3 linked regions of the Nothobranchius furzeri genome follow. The main gene of each other region encodes a partner of the protein of the gene in region 2 in a complex. Links are inferred from orthologs where the notes say so. Each region holds a gene or a part of one and is shown on either strand. Other genes may lie near its edges.

What was found. Proteins that work in one complex are often made in the same cells at the same time.
Region 1: txnl4a (region 2) and smx5 share a complex: the UniProt entries of both Homo sapiens proteins name them as parts of the precatalytic spliceosome. The link is inferred for Nothobranchius furzeri from reciprocal best matches to the Homo sapiens genes TXNL4A and LSM2.
Region 3: txnl4a (region 2) and usp39 share a complex: the UniProt entries of both Homo sapiens proteins name them as parts of the U4/U6-U5 tri-snRNP complex. The link is inferred for Nothobranchius furzeri from reciprocal best matches to the Homo sapiens genes TXNL4A and USP39.

What each region holds. Positions count from the first base shown.
Region 1 is NC_091756.1:60,995,494-60,999,253, forward strand, and holds the start of smx5 (smx5), read left to right. Parts: upstream 1-1,278; 5' UTR 1,279-1,355; coding exon 1,356-1,358; intron 1,359-1,547; coding exon 1,548-1,615; intron 1,616-1,943; coding exon 1,944-1,974; intron 1,975-2,060; coding exon 2,061-2,120; intron 2,121-3,760. UniProt on the Homo sapiens protein: Plays a role in pre-mRNA splicing as component of the U4/U6-U5 tri-snRNP complex that is involved in spliceosome assembly, and as component of the precatalytic spliceosome (spliceosome B complex).
Region 2 is NC_091751.1:22,095,304-22,098,096, forward strand, and holds txnl4a (thioredoxin-like protein 4A), read left to right. Parts: upstream 1-894; 5' UTR 895-1,039; intron 1,040-1,221; 5' UTR 1,222-1,249; coding exon 1,250-1,402; intron 1,403-1,528; coding exon 1,529-1,632; intron 1,633-1,718; coding exon 1,719-1,890; 3' UTR 1,891-2,179; downstream 2,180-2,793. UniProt on the Homo sapiens protein: Plays a role in pre-mRNA splicing as component of the U5 snRNP and U4/U6-U5 tri-snRNP complexes that are involved in spliceosome assembly, and as component of the precatalytic spliceosome (spliceosome B complex).
Region 3 is NC_091757.1:46,437,074-46,440,757, reverse strand, and holds the start of usp39 (ubiquitin carboxyl-terminal hydrolase 39), read left to right. Parts: upstream 1-729; 5' UTR 730-858; coding exon 859-919; intron 920-1,192; coding exon 1,193-1,271; intron 1,272-1,364; coding exon 1,365-1,459; intron 1,460-1,618; coding exon 1,619-1,755; intron 1,756-3,684. Other genes in the region: c17h2orf68 (UPF0561 protein C2orf68 homolog), read right to left, coding at 313-422.

The sequences.
Region 1 (3,760 bases), on a different chromosome or scaffold from region 2:
GCACACAGTCTGGGCCAAAACCAGTTCATCAGAGACCACCGACAGATGGGACTGGAGAGCAGAGACACTGATGGGACTATACCTGCTTGAACCTGAGGGACCAAGGCAATCAGCATGGATGACTGGTTTGAGACTGGAAGCCTTCCCACACCAGGGTGACCAGTATAAGGAGTAGGGATGGATTCCAGATGTGGTACTTTTTAAGGCACCGACTGAATTATGTGGTACCCACCAGGGATCAATTCTCCTACGACTGGCTTTTTCATATAAGAGGAAACCGTCTTCCCTTGCTGCAGAGTTTTTATGTTTACAGCCGGACCTTGAGTTTTTTGAAGAAAATGTGAATTCAATTCAACTCAAAGCTTTGTTTATAAAGTGCCTTCCGCGACCTTGTCAGGGAGCCCAAGGTGCTGTACACAGTACATAAGAAACATAAATCACAATGAATAAATAGAAAATAAAAGCAATTAAAATAGTGCAAAGGGGGTAAAACATTGAAGTAGAAACAAATAGATAAAACAAGGGAACTCATCTCTATACCAACCATTCTGTCCTGTTTTGCACCATACCAGTTTCCGTTTTTTATTCATTTATTTATTTTAATAAAAGAAGCAGACAAACGCCAAATGTGAGCTTGTCATAAATCTTGTTGCATTTTATCCCACTGTTAGACTGACTTCTTTTCTCTGCTGGGTTTATCTTATCACCTAATTATTAGACTATCTTATGTCCTTGCTTTAATGGGTTAAGGCTGTTTACAAGTTTGAGCACATCTGTCATCATCTGTTTAAATGTGTGTCATCTAATCACAATTTAAATCAACGCTGATTAGGATTTAGACCTATTTTTCACCAGTTTTCATTATTCTAGAAGAAAAACATACCTGCTGCACACAGCTGGGCAAAATAGGGCCATTTACATATATTTCATACGTAGGTAAGGCACACATAGGTTTATCCTATTTACCAGGGCTGCCGACTTCTTTAAAAGTCTCAGAGTGAGATTTTCTTTATTTTAACATATCTCTCTCTCTCTCTCTCTCTCTCTCTCTGTGTGTGTGTGTGTGTGTGTGTGTGTGTGTGTAGGGACGTGGACTATTAGGGTTTGTTACGCAAAGTGATATTAAGGCAGATTTAATTTTTCAGAGGCAAATTAGATGCTGTAATCACACTTAAGTGTGTAAAAAAACACAATGTTGATTAATTATGAGCAAAACATGTCAAAGAAATGGATACGATTCAAGCTGAATATGTTGAAGACCTCTGGCTCCCCCTGGTGGTAGTTGTCTGTATTTGCAGCGCTCCCTGATACGTCATCAAAAGCGGACGCGACTACTGAACAAAGCTACCGCAAAAATGGTGAGCTAACCTCGTTCAATATTCAAAATGTATTTAGCATGACACCAAACACATGACAGTTAAATAAGTCGTTACCTTAGTCTTTGTGTAACTGTTAGTGTTTCCATTCTCTCTTTGTTCATAAACTGTCGTGCTCGACGTGTAGCGTGCAGCTACACGCTAACGTTAGCATGTCGTTGTGCTCCGCAGCTTTTCTACTCGTTTTTCAAGTCTCTGGTTGGGAAGGACGTAGTGGTGGAGCTCAAGAACGATCTGAGGTTAGTGTTTTACGGCTTGGCCTCCACTGCTGTGATAAATCGTTGAAGCTGTTGTTCATTTGCAGGAAAGAACGCTAGCAATTCGACCCACTGTAGCACCACGTTGGAAACAAGTGGTCTCTAAACGCGAAGCTTTGAATGAACTTCTGCTAAAGCTTGAGCTATTTCTTTGTATATTCCAATGGACTTGTAGCTTATTAGTACTGCGACGTTTCTACACGAGTCTGACTCGGAAATTAAGGCAACCGAGCTAAACGAGCCATGTAGCCTATTCAAAAGTGTCCAAATGTTTGTTTTCTTGAATATTTATCCACACATCTGTTTTCAGCATCTGCGGAACGCTTCATTCTGTTGACCAGGTATTGAAAATACACTTTTTGAAACTCTTTCAGACAAACTTCTGCAGTTTTTTGACATTTACATTCCTACTCTTTTTGGTTTTTAGTACCTGAACATAAAGTTGACAGACATCAGTGTGACGGATCCAGAGAAATATCCACACATGGTAAGTAGCATACTTGAGACACATCGGTCCTAAGGTCACGTTGCTTCAGATGTCTGTAGAAATCTGAGGCTAATCTCACTACGAGTGTTTTCCACATTCACAGCAGGGTTAACAAACACAAACTCAGCCCTCTAATTGGTAAAAAGGTGTGATTATTCACTTAAACCAAAGATGCGACAGATTTTTGTTTTGTTTTCAGGTCGAGTACTAAAGCCTTACCTCTAGTCCTCAGAAAATAAAAATACAACTTAATAGGGCTGGATGAAAACTTATTTGTCAGTGTCCTTTTGCAGAATTCCAATTTTACAATATTATACCTCCATATTTTTTCTTCTGTAAATATTTGCAAGTTAACTCCCTTCAAGCTGTCTACAGAAAGTGTAATCATAAATTCATCAGCAGATTAAATGCACAATTTAATCAGATTCTTGTCAAACATCAACCTAAGTGCCATTCTCTATCAGTTTGAGCTGTAGAAACACTTGTACAGCTGTATGCTAACACACATGTAGGTTTAGATATTTATGCCGCTGGTTTGACCCGTCTCTCAGCACCAGCAGGATAAATAAATCTCCGTCAGCAGCCACGGTGAAAAGTAGCGATGTAAGACAATATCGATATGGCAATATATCGTGATGTTTTTTCCTGCAATATTATATTGATATCCAAAAGCCATGTGTTGAACTTTTTGGAATAGTTTACATGCAAACATTTGTGTATTTTCTTTTCTTTTGGTGCAATTCAAACACTGACCGCTAGCTAGCAGCAGTGTGCATTGGGTTTTGTTTCCACCACTGAAATATAAATCCCTCTATTATGGTTCAGATACCTCATGTTTAACATGTTAAGTATCAGTTTGGACTGTTTATTGAAATTTTCTACAATAAATTCAGTCTAAAAAATCGCTGATATCGTCTGGCTGAATGTATCGCAATATATCGTGATATATCGTATCGTCTTCCCTGTATCGTGATACGTATCGTATCGCCACAATTTCACCAATACACATCCGTAGTGAAAAGGCTCACTAAAACACGAACAAATGTCCCCAAATAATTAAAAACCACTAATCCAAATGCAAAGTTTAGGGCAGAAAATTGACCTAGAGGTTTCCTGATCGAGCAGACACGTGAGAATACATGTAATGATCGCATAGAGACAGAACAAGCTAGTGGATAGCAATAGCTGCACCTGCTAATGCTAGAAATTCACTGTTTTTATATTTATATTGATGTAAAGATATTGAGTCATCAGGTTTCTTGTTTGAAATTATATCCACATTTAAAAAATCTCAGCCCTACAACTGAAAGTAAATGGGTTTTTAACTAGAAATTTATTTCAACCATACTTACTCACAACTTGGCTTGCTCATGGGTATCTCCTTAAAAATGTATCAAATCTTGACAAACTAGTTTTATTTTTACCTGAAGTCATAAAAACTCAAGGAAAAGTGATTTTTAAATAGTCTAGATTAACTCACAAACCTGTGGATTTGTAGCCCACAAACGGTTGTGTTTTATTAACACTCTCTGCAGCAAAGATGCTTTTAGTTAATACGTTTACTCGGACGTTCCGAGGACTCACCTTTACCACAAGGGTTAGACTGAATGAGCTTTCCACCGAACGTGAAAGCGTCATGA
Region 2 (2,793 bases):
AAACTGACTTTATGGTGCAGACGTTTCCTTTAATGAGACAGCAAAGTGACGTGATTGTTGTGAACAAGTATAAACGGTCTCTGTGCAACACCGGTGTAACGTGCTGGAAAATATTTAAAAACTCCATCTTAAAGTGCTTGAAAAGGGTTTACATTTTATTATTTACAAAGTGTGTTAGGAAGCCTGCAAAAAATCAAGTACGACACGTAGTATTTGACATTGCATGATGAGTTAGGGTTGGGTTTTTACAAATTTTTCTTTGGAATCTCTTTTTGTGGAAGAATTTGAGTTTGAACGCAGAGTAAAACTCCAAACTAATCATTTTTCAAGCTGTATCCATTTTACAGCAAGTGTGCCAAATATACACATTGTTCTAAATTTGTGAACTTGTTAAGAATCAGAAATACTTCACAGCATCAAATATTAACAGTTTTTTTTGTAAAGTACACAAACAACACGTGCACGTTTTAATTGAAGTGTGGCAAACAAGCTTTACAAATAAAGAGTGCTCCGAGATTTCCTAAAAAATGTATTCATGTTGCAAATTTCTAATTATGTTATCTAGACTGTAAACATAATTTCTGTTTGTTATTGAGCTGTTTGAAAATCTGTTTGTTCTCCATGCATGAATACGAAATACATTTAATACTAGAAGTATTTCTCTAGTTGATCATCCAAAAAGATGATCATCCAAAAAGATATTGCTGGAAAACATAACGTAAATATATTTATTTTAAAAGTACTTGCTGGAGTGAAAAGTAATTATTTCAAATAATTAATTATTTAAAATTTTTATTTTTTGTGTGCGGCTTTCACATTAAAAAATAATAAATAAATAAATTGGGACTTTTTAAAAGAGTTTTTCGAATTGAGCGACTATGACGTAAATTTAACGCGTCTCCTGCGTCGCTGATTTGATGACGTCGTGAAGCGTTTGTTTTCCGTGGGGTTTAAAAGAAGTCACATTGAACATAGCTGCTTTATCTATAGTTAGTCCGTTTTCTTCCCGCCACTTAAATACTCTATTTTATATTTTGGGGTAAGTGTTTCAGAATATTTAGTGGGAAGTTTCATAATTGTGTCTTTCAGATTGTATCCATGGTTAACGCTAACTAGCTAGCTAGCTGTTGCCGGTCAAACCGTTCTCTGGTACTCAGAGATGTTTGTTTAATTTAATGTTCAGCTGTGATCGATTTGAACTCTTTATTTGATCCATTTCAGGTTAGAATTTGCTCATTTTTGAGTCAAGATGTCGTACATGTTACCGCATCTCCACAATGGATGGCAGGTCGACCAAGCCATCCTGTCTGAGGAGGACCGAGTCCTCGTCATCCGCTTCGGACACGACTGGGACCCAACATGTATGAAGATGGACGAGGTTCTTTACAGCATCGCTGAAAAGGTTTGATTTGTTTCCTGTCTTTATTATATAAAGTCCGGTTGGCTCAGATTCAGGAGTCGCGTCACATTACCTGCTGGCGTGCTCCAAATGCCATGTTTAATTCATTCTTGGTTTGTTTATTTACAGGTGAAGAACTTTGCTGTCATTTACCTCGTGGACATCACAGAAGTGCCTGATTTCAATAAGATGTACGAGTTGTACGACCCCTGCACTGTCATGTTCTTTTTCAGGTAGCTCTTCCAGTTCCACATGTTGCAATAGACAGGGCAGCTGAGTAAACATATTTTAAGGTGATATTTTTGTCTTTCTCTTCCAGGAACAAACACATCATGATTGATTTGGGCACCGGTAACAATAACAAGATCAACTGGATAATCGAGGACAAACAGGAGATGATAGATATTGTTGAAACTGTGTATCGAGGAGCAAGGAAAGGAAGAGGTTTGGTGGTGTCTCCCAAGGATTACTCTACAAAATACAGATACTGATTTTTTTTCATCCTCCTTTGTTCAGTTTATTATTTTTTCATTTGACAAAATGAAGAGACAAAAAACACAAAAGGTTCAGGAATATTCTTCAGCGTGTTTACCTTTGGTAGTAAAACAGGACATTGTTGATAATGGTGGGTTTAATGTCACTTTTTGTTTTTGCAAACGTAGCTTCATAAATATTAAGTTTTGTGTTTTTTAAGGCTTATTTCTGTGAAATATGTCAGTGTGGAACACATCGGTAATATTGTACAACTTGTAACTGTTTTAATAAAAAACTTTTACTTAAGATTTAAATGTAGTGTTTTAATTTATTTTATATATATATATATATATATATATATATATATATATATTCTGAACCTGCTTGTCCATGTAGGGTCGCGGGGGGCTGGTGCCTATCTCCAGCTGTCACTGGGCAACCAGGCGGGGTTCACCCTGGACAGAGCCAGTCTATCTAGTACTTCTAAGGCCTATAAAATAAACATGTTTATCATGAGTACAAGCTGTTCCACCACATCATTAAGTATAAGACTGATAGATTTATGAGTGTAAAACTTAAAATCCTGCTTTTCTGTTGTTAATACTCTTAATTCTAGAAGGCTTTTAATGACTGGCTAAAAAATATGGCTATAAGTTTATAAATATAATGAATATATGATCTTATTTAATTATGGTTATGCAAAATAAGATAGTAGACAGGCTTTTTAAAATGTTAAGTATTTTAAATAAAACGAATCTGTGCATAATGTTGGAAATCATACCATTTTAATGACATACCTGGAATCTTCCACTAGAGGGAGTTAGAGCTCTTGACTGCACCTTTGCCTCATTGGATCATTGTAAAACTTCATTATAACATTAATTAATAGTGATACTAAATGTAGAAGGACGTATGAGCCA
Region 3 (3,684 bases), on a different chromosome or scaffold from region 2:
CATTTGATCATAAACTTAAAAGTGTAATGCTGTATGTATTTTGCAATTCAAAACAAAGTAAATAGTTATTTAAAACAATAAGTTTCATGCATATTCTGCTAAAACCTGCAATAATTTGGCTAGGCCTGCAAACTTATAAATTGTTTTTAGCGGCTAAACGCGTTTATGTCATCAGCTACGACCTTTTCAGCATCCCCAAATCAACGTAACGTTTGATTAAAAGAATATCGCCTTTGAGGTTTTAGGCTGATATTAACCTAGTGTCTCATTTTCAACTAGCATTAACAGAGAGAAATTGAGGAAATTACCTACCTAGCAATCTGGTTCCTGCGGATATGGTGCAAGAAGCCATGGCTCATATCCAAACGCCCACCTGGTTTGTATTTTAGCTCATGCCCTCCATCATCTCTTAAAATATCCATGTCATTAAATGGTTGTAAAGCAATAAATTACCAATTGGTTAAATCATTATAAGAGGTCCTAATCAGACCTCAGACAAAAGCTAAATAGCACCTAGCTAGCTGTAAATAGTTGTCCAATAAATCACTTCCGGAGTTAACGCTGCAGGAACGATCACATTTAACATCTTAAATTAAAAAGTACAATAACAATTCAAGTATTTGTGTACAAATAAAACAAACACATGTTGTAAATTAACAGTTTCCTGCGCTAAAAAAAAACAAAGTTAAATTTCTGGTAGAATATTTTTCTTAACACCGGAATAGGTTTTGTTTTTTTTGTTCAGCGTACAACCACCGCGAGTTTCGACGTGGTCAGTCACCATTCATCTAAAAAATCTTCTAAATAAGTTAGTTTATTCCTATGTTGTTTTGATACCAGGCTCGCAGGATAACAGATATGATTTCCCTAAAACGAGAGAGGGAAATTGAGCTGGACGACGATGATAACGAAGACGGAGGTAAGTATGTTTATCTCTAACGTCAGTGTAACGTTAGCCGGATGCTAAGAAGCTAACTAAAAGAATTTGATTTTATGCACAACTTTGTACAGTCACTTCCTGAATGGTCATTAGACATCCTCAGTAACTAATGCATAGAATAACACTTTGCTTAATTAAAAAACATTCTGTAACAGCACAGCTATCGTGTTAGCATGTTTAGCCTATTAGCTTGTACATTGTTATGTAGCATTTTAGTTTGTCTTGTTAGTTACAATTATCATATTTTTGCAGTTGTAATCAAAAGGGGCCGAGGACATGCAGTAGAAGACAGAAGAAGTCGCCACTGCCCTTACCTTGACACCATAAACAGGCAAGAAAGAGAAACATATCAGCAACTGATATTAGCATTGCTTGCTAATTAGCACATTTGACAACCATTAACCTGTCTATGCTAATTTCCCAGGAGTGTGCTTGATTTTGATTTTGAAAAGCTCTGCTCCATCTCGCTCTCCCACATTAATGTTTATGCTTGCCTCATCTGTGGGAAATATTTTCAAGGTAGGTAAAGCTATCCAACCTTCAATCCTACATGATTAAACATGCTCGTGCACTTTGATAGCCTGGCAAGCCACACTAAATAAAACTTTGCAAAGCAAGAATTTGGTCTAGTTCACTAGGCTAGTACTTTGACACACTGGTGTTGTTTTTTTCTTGCAGGCAGAGGTCAGAAGTCTCATGCATACACTCACAGTGTCCAGTTTAGCCATCATGTGTTCCTCAACCTGCACACACTCAAGTTTTACTGTCTGCCAGATAACTATGAGATCATTGACTCGTCATTAGAAGACATCACGGTGAGTCATAGTATTGTTTTGTTGATCTTATTATGCCACAAGTGTCTATGGTTACAAAGCCTAAACATTTCCTGTTTAACAGAGACTGCAAACTGGAGAAAAGTTTTAAAAGTTTTAAGCATGTAGATGTAGATTCTCAGTCATCCAGGACATTTCAGTGCTAAGACTCTTGGGATGTTCCAAAAAGGGTACTTCACGATTCGATTCAATTTCGATTATTGGAGCTTCGATGCTTCGATTCTTCGATTATAATGATTTTTGGTTCGATTCGATTACTGGAGCCACGATTCTTCGATTATTGACATTTTTAATGTTTTTTCATACAAGATTGTCTTCTATTTTATCTACATTTGTAAATAAATAACCTATCAATTAATTCAGTTCCTCTACAACTGCTCTCTGTAAGTAAATACATTTTTTTAACATTTAACTATTTTTCAAAGACAAATTCTTATTTTATGACTGTATGACGTGTAAATATTTGCACTTTGACAAACTTAACTTTGGTCAGGGAAAGCTTTACTTACACTAGTGTCTCCTCCATTGTTGGGAAACACTGAAAACAGGCAAGCCCTGGATTTAATGAGGTAATTAATTCAAGTAAACAAGATTTTTACTTCCACTGAATTTATTTAATGGAAACTTAATGAGTCTGGCATATGATAACATTACAAAAAAAGCTGCCATACAGATCAAAAGTGCATTCCTCAAAATAAAATAATTCAGCTTATTCAGTCTGGAATATAGGTAACAGAAAAAAACCTGCTATATTTGAAGGTAATATGTTGCATTTTTTCTGAACAAAAGTGCATAATTCAACTGAACCTGTATTCAGCTTGGAGCTTCAGTACTGTGAGGCGAACACAACAAAATAGAGCAGAGTGACACTCATACTCATCTTAATCTTAGCTGTCTTCCCATACTCCCTCCCCTCCTTCTTGTCCCCTACATCCTCCAGTTGTGTGAGATGGGTAAATGTCAACATTGTGCTACTTTGACCCTCACTCATCTCTCGAGTTTGAAGAACGTGGCTCACCAACTTCCACCCGTTCTTGTCCGGCGCGAGAACAAAATGCGCCGTTACAGTAACGAAGGATTTGGTGGCAACCGATGTCCATGCATCGCATGTGAGCGCTATCCCGGTTGCCTTCTTCATGGACTCCAGCTTTGGTTTCCTCGTAGAGGTGGGGGACTTCCTTTTCTGCGAAGTGTTTTCGGTGAGGAAGTTTCTAGCGCGGCTCCATGGTGCGCACCACTAACTGAAACCCCCTGTTGTTTACTACTGAATATGGGCGTAGATCCGTCGCGATAAAAGTAGCTATTGCTTTTGTAATGCTCCTCGCCTTCTCTGAGCTCTTCGGTAGTTTGGAGACAGTCTCCAGGATGGAGAAAGAGGTCAAAGAGGTAGTGCCACTCACTAAACAGTCCGGGCGGCGCGTGCGTTAAGGCTCCGGTTACGTGTTTTTATTTTTTTTTAGTACCGGCGTTGCAATAAAACTTTGATGTTATGTTTTTTTAAGCATTGACGTTCATTAATCGATGTCGAAACAACATGTTTAGCTGTTAGATGCATCGCCACATCGATTAATTGCACCCCCCCTATAAGATTCTAATGGAAAGTAACTACCTGGAGATGTCTGAAGATGTTTCAAATTTTCATCTGACTCAGATGAGTGTTGGAGATCATTTTAACTAATGTGCTCAAAATTCAGTTGGAGACTAACCTTTTAACTCAAATCAAATTCAAATTTTATTTGTCACATAAATTCATACACAGTACGAAATGCTGTGAAATGCCTTACACAACTGCTCGTGACCTAAGAGTTGAAAATAAAATAACTGTACACCACGGATTAGAATGAAGGGTAAATTTAACTGGGAAAGAGTAAGGTAAAATATATCTGAATTAAAGTTGAATAATAGAATAGC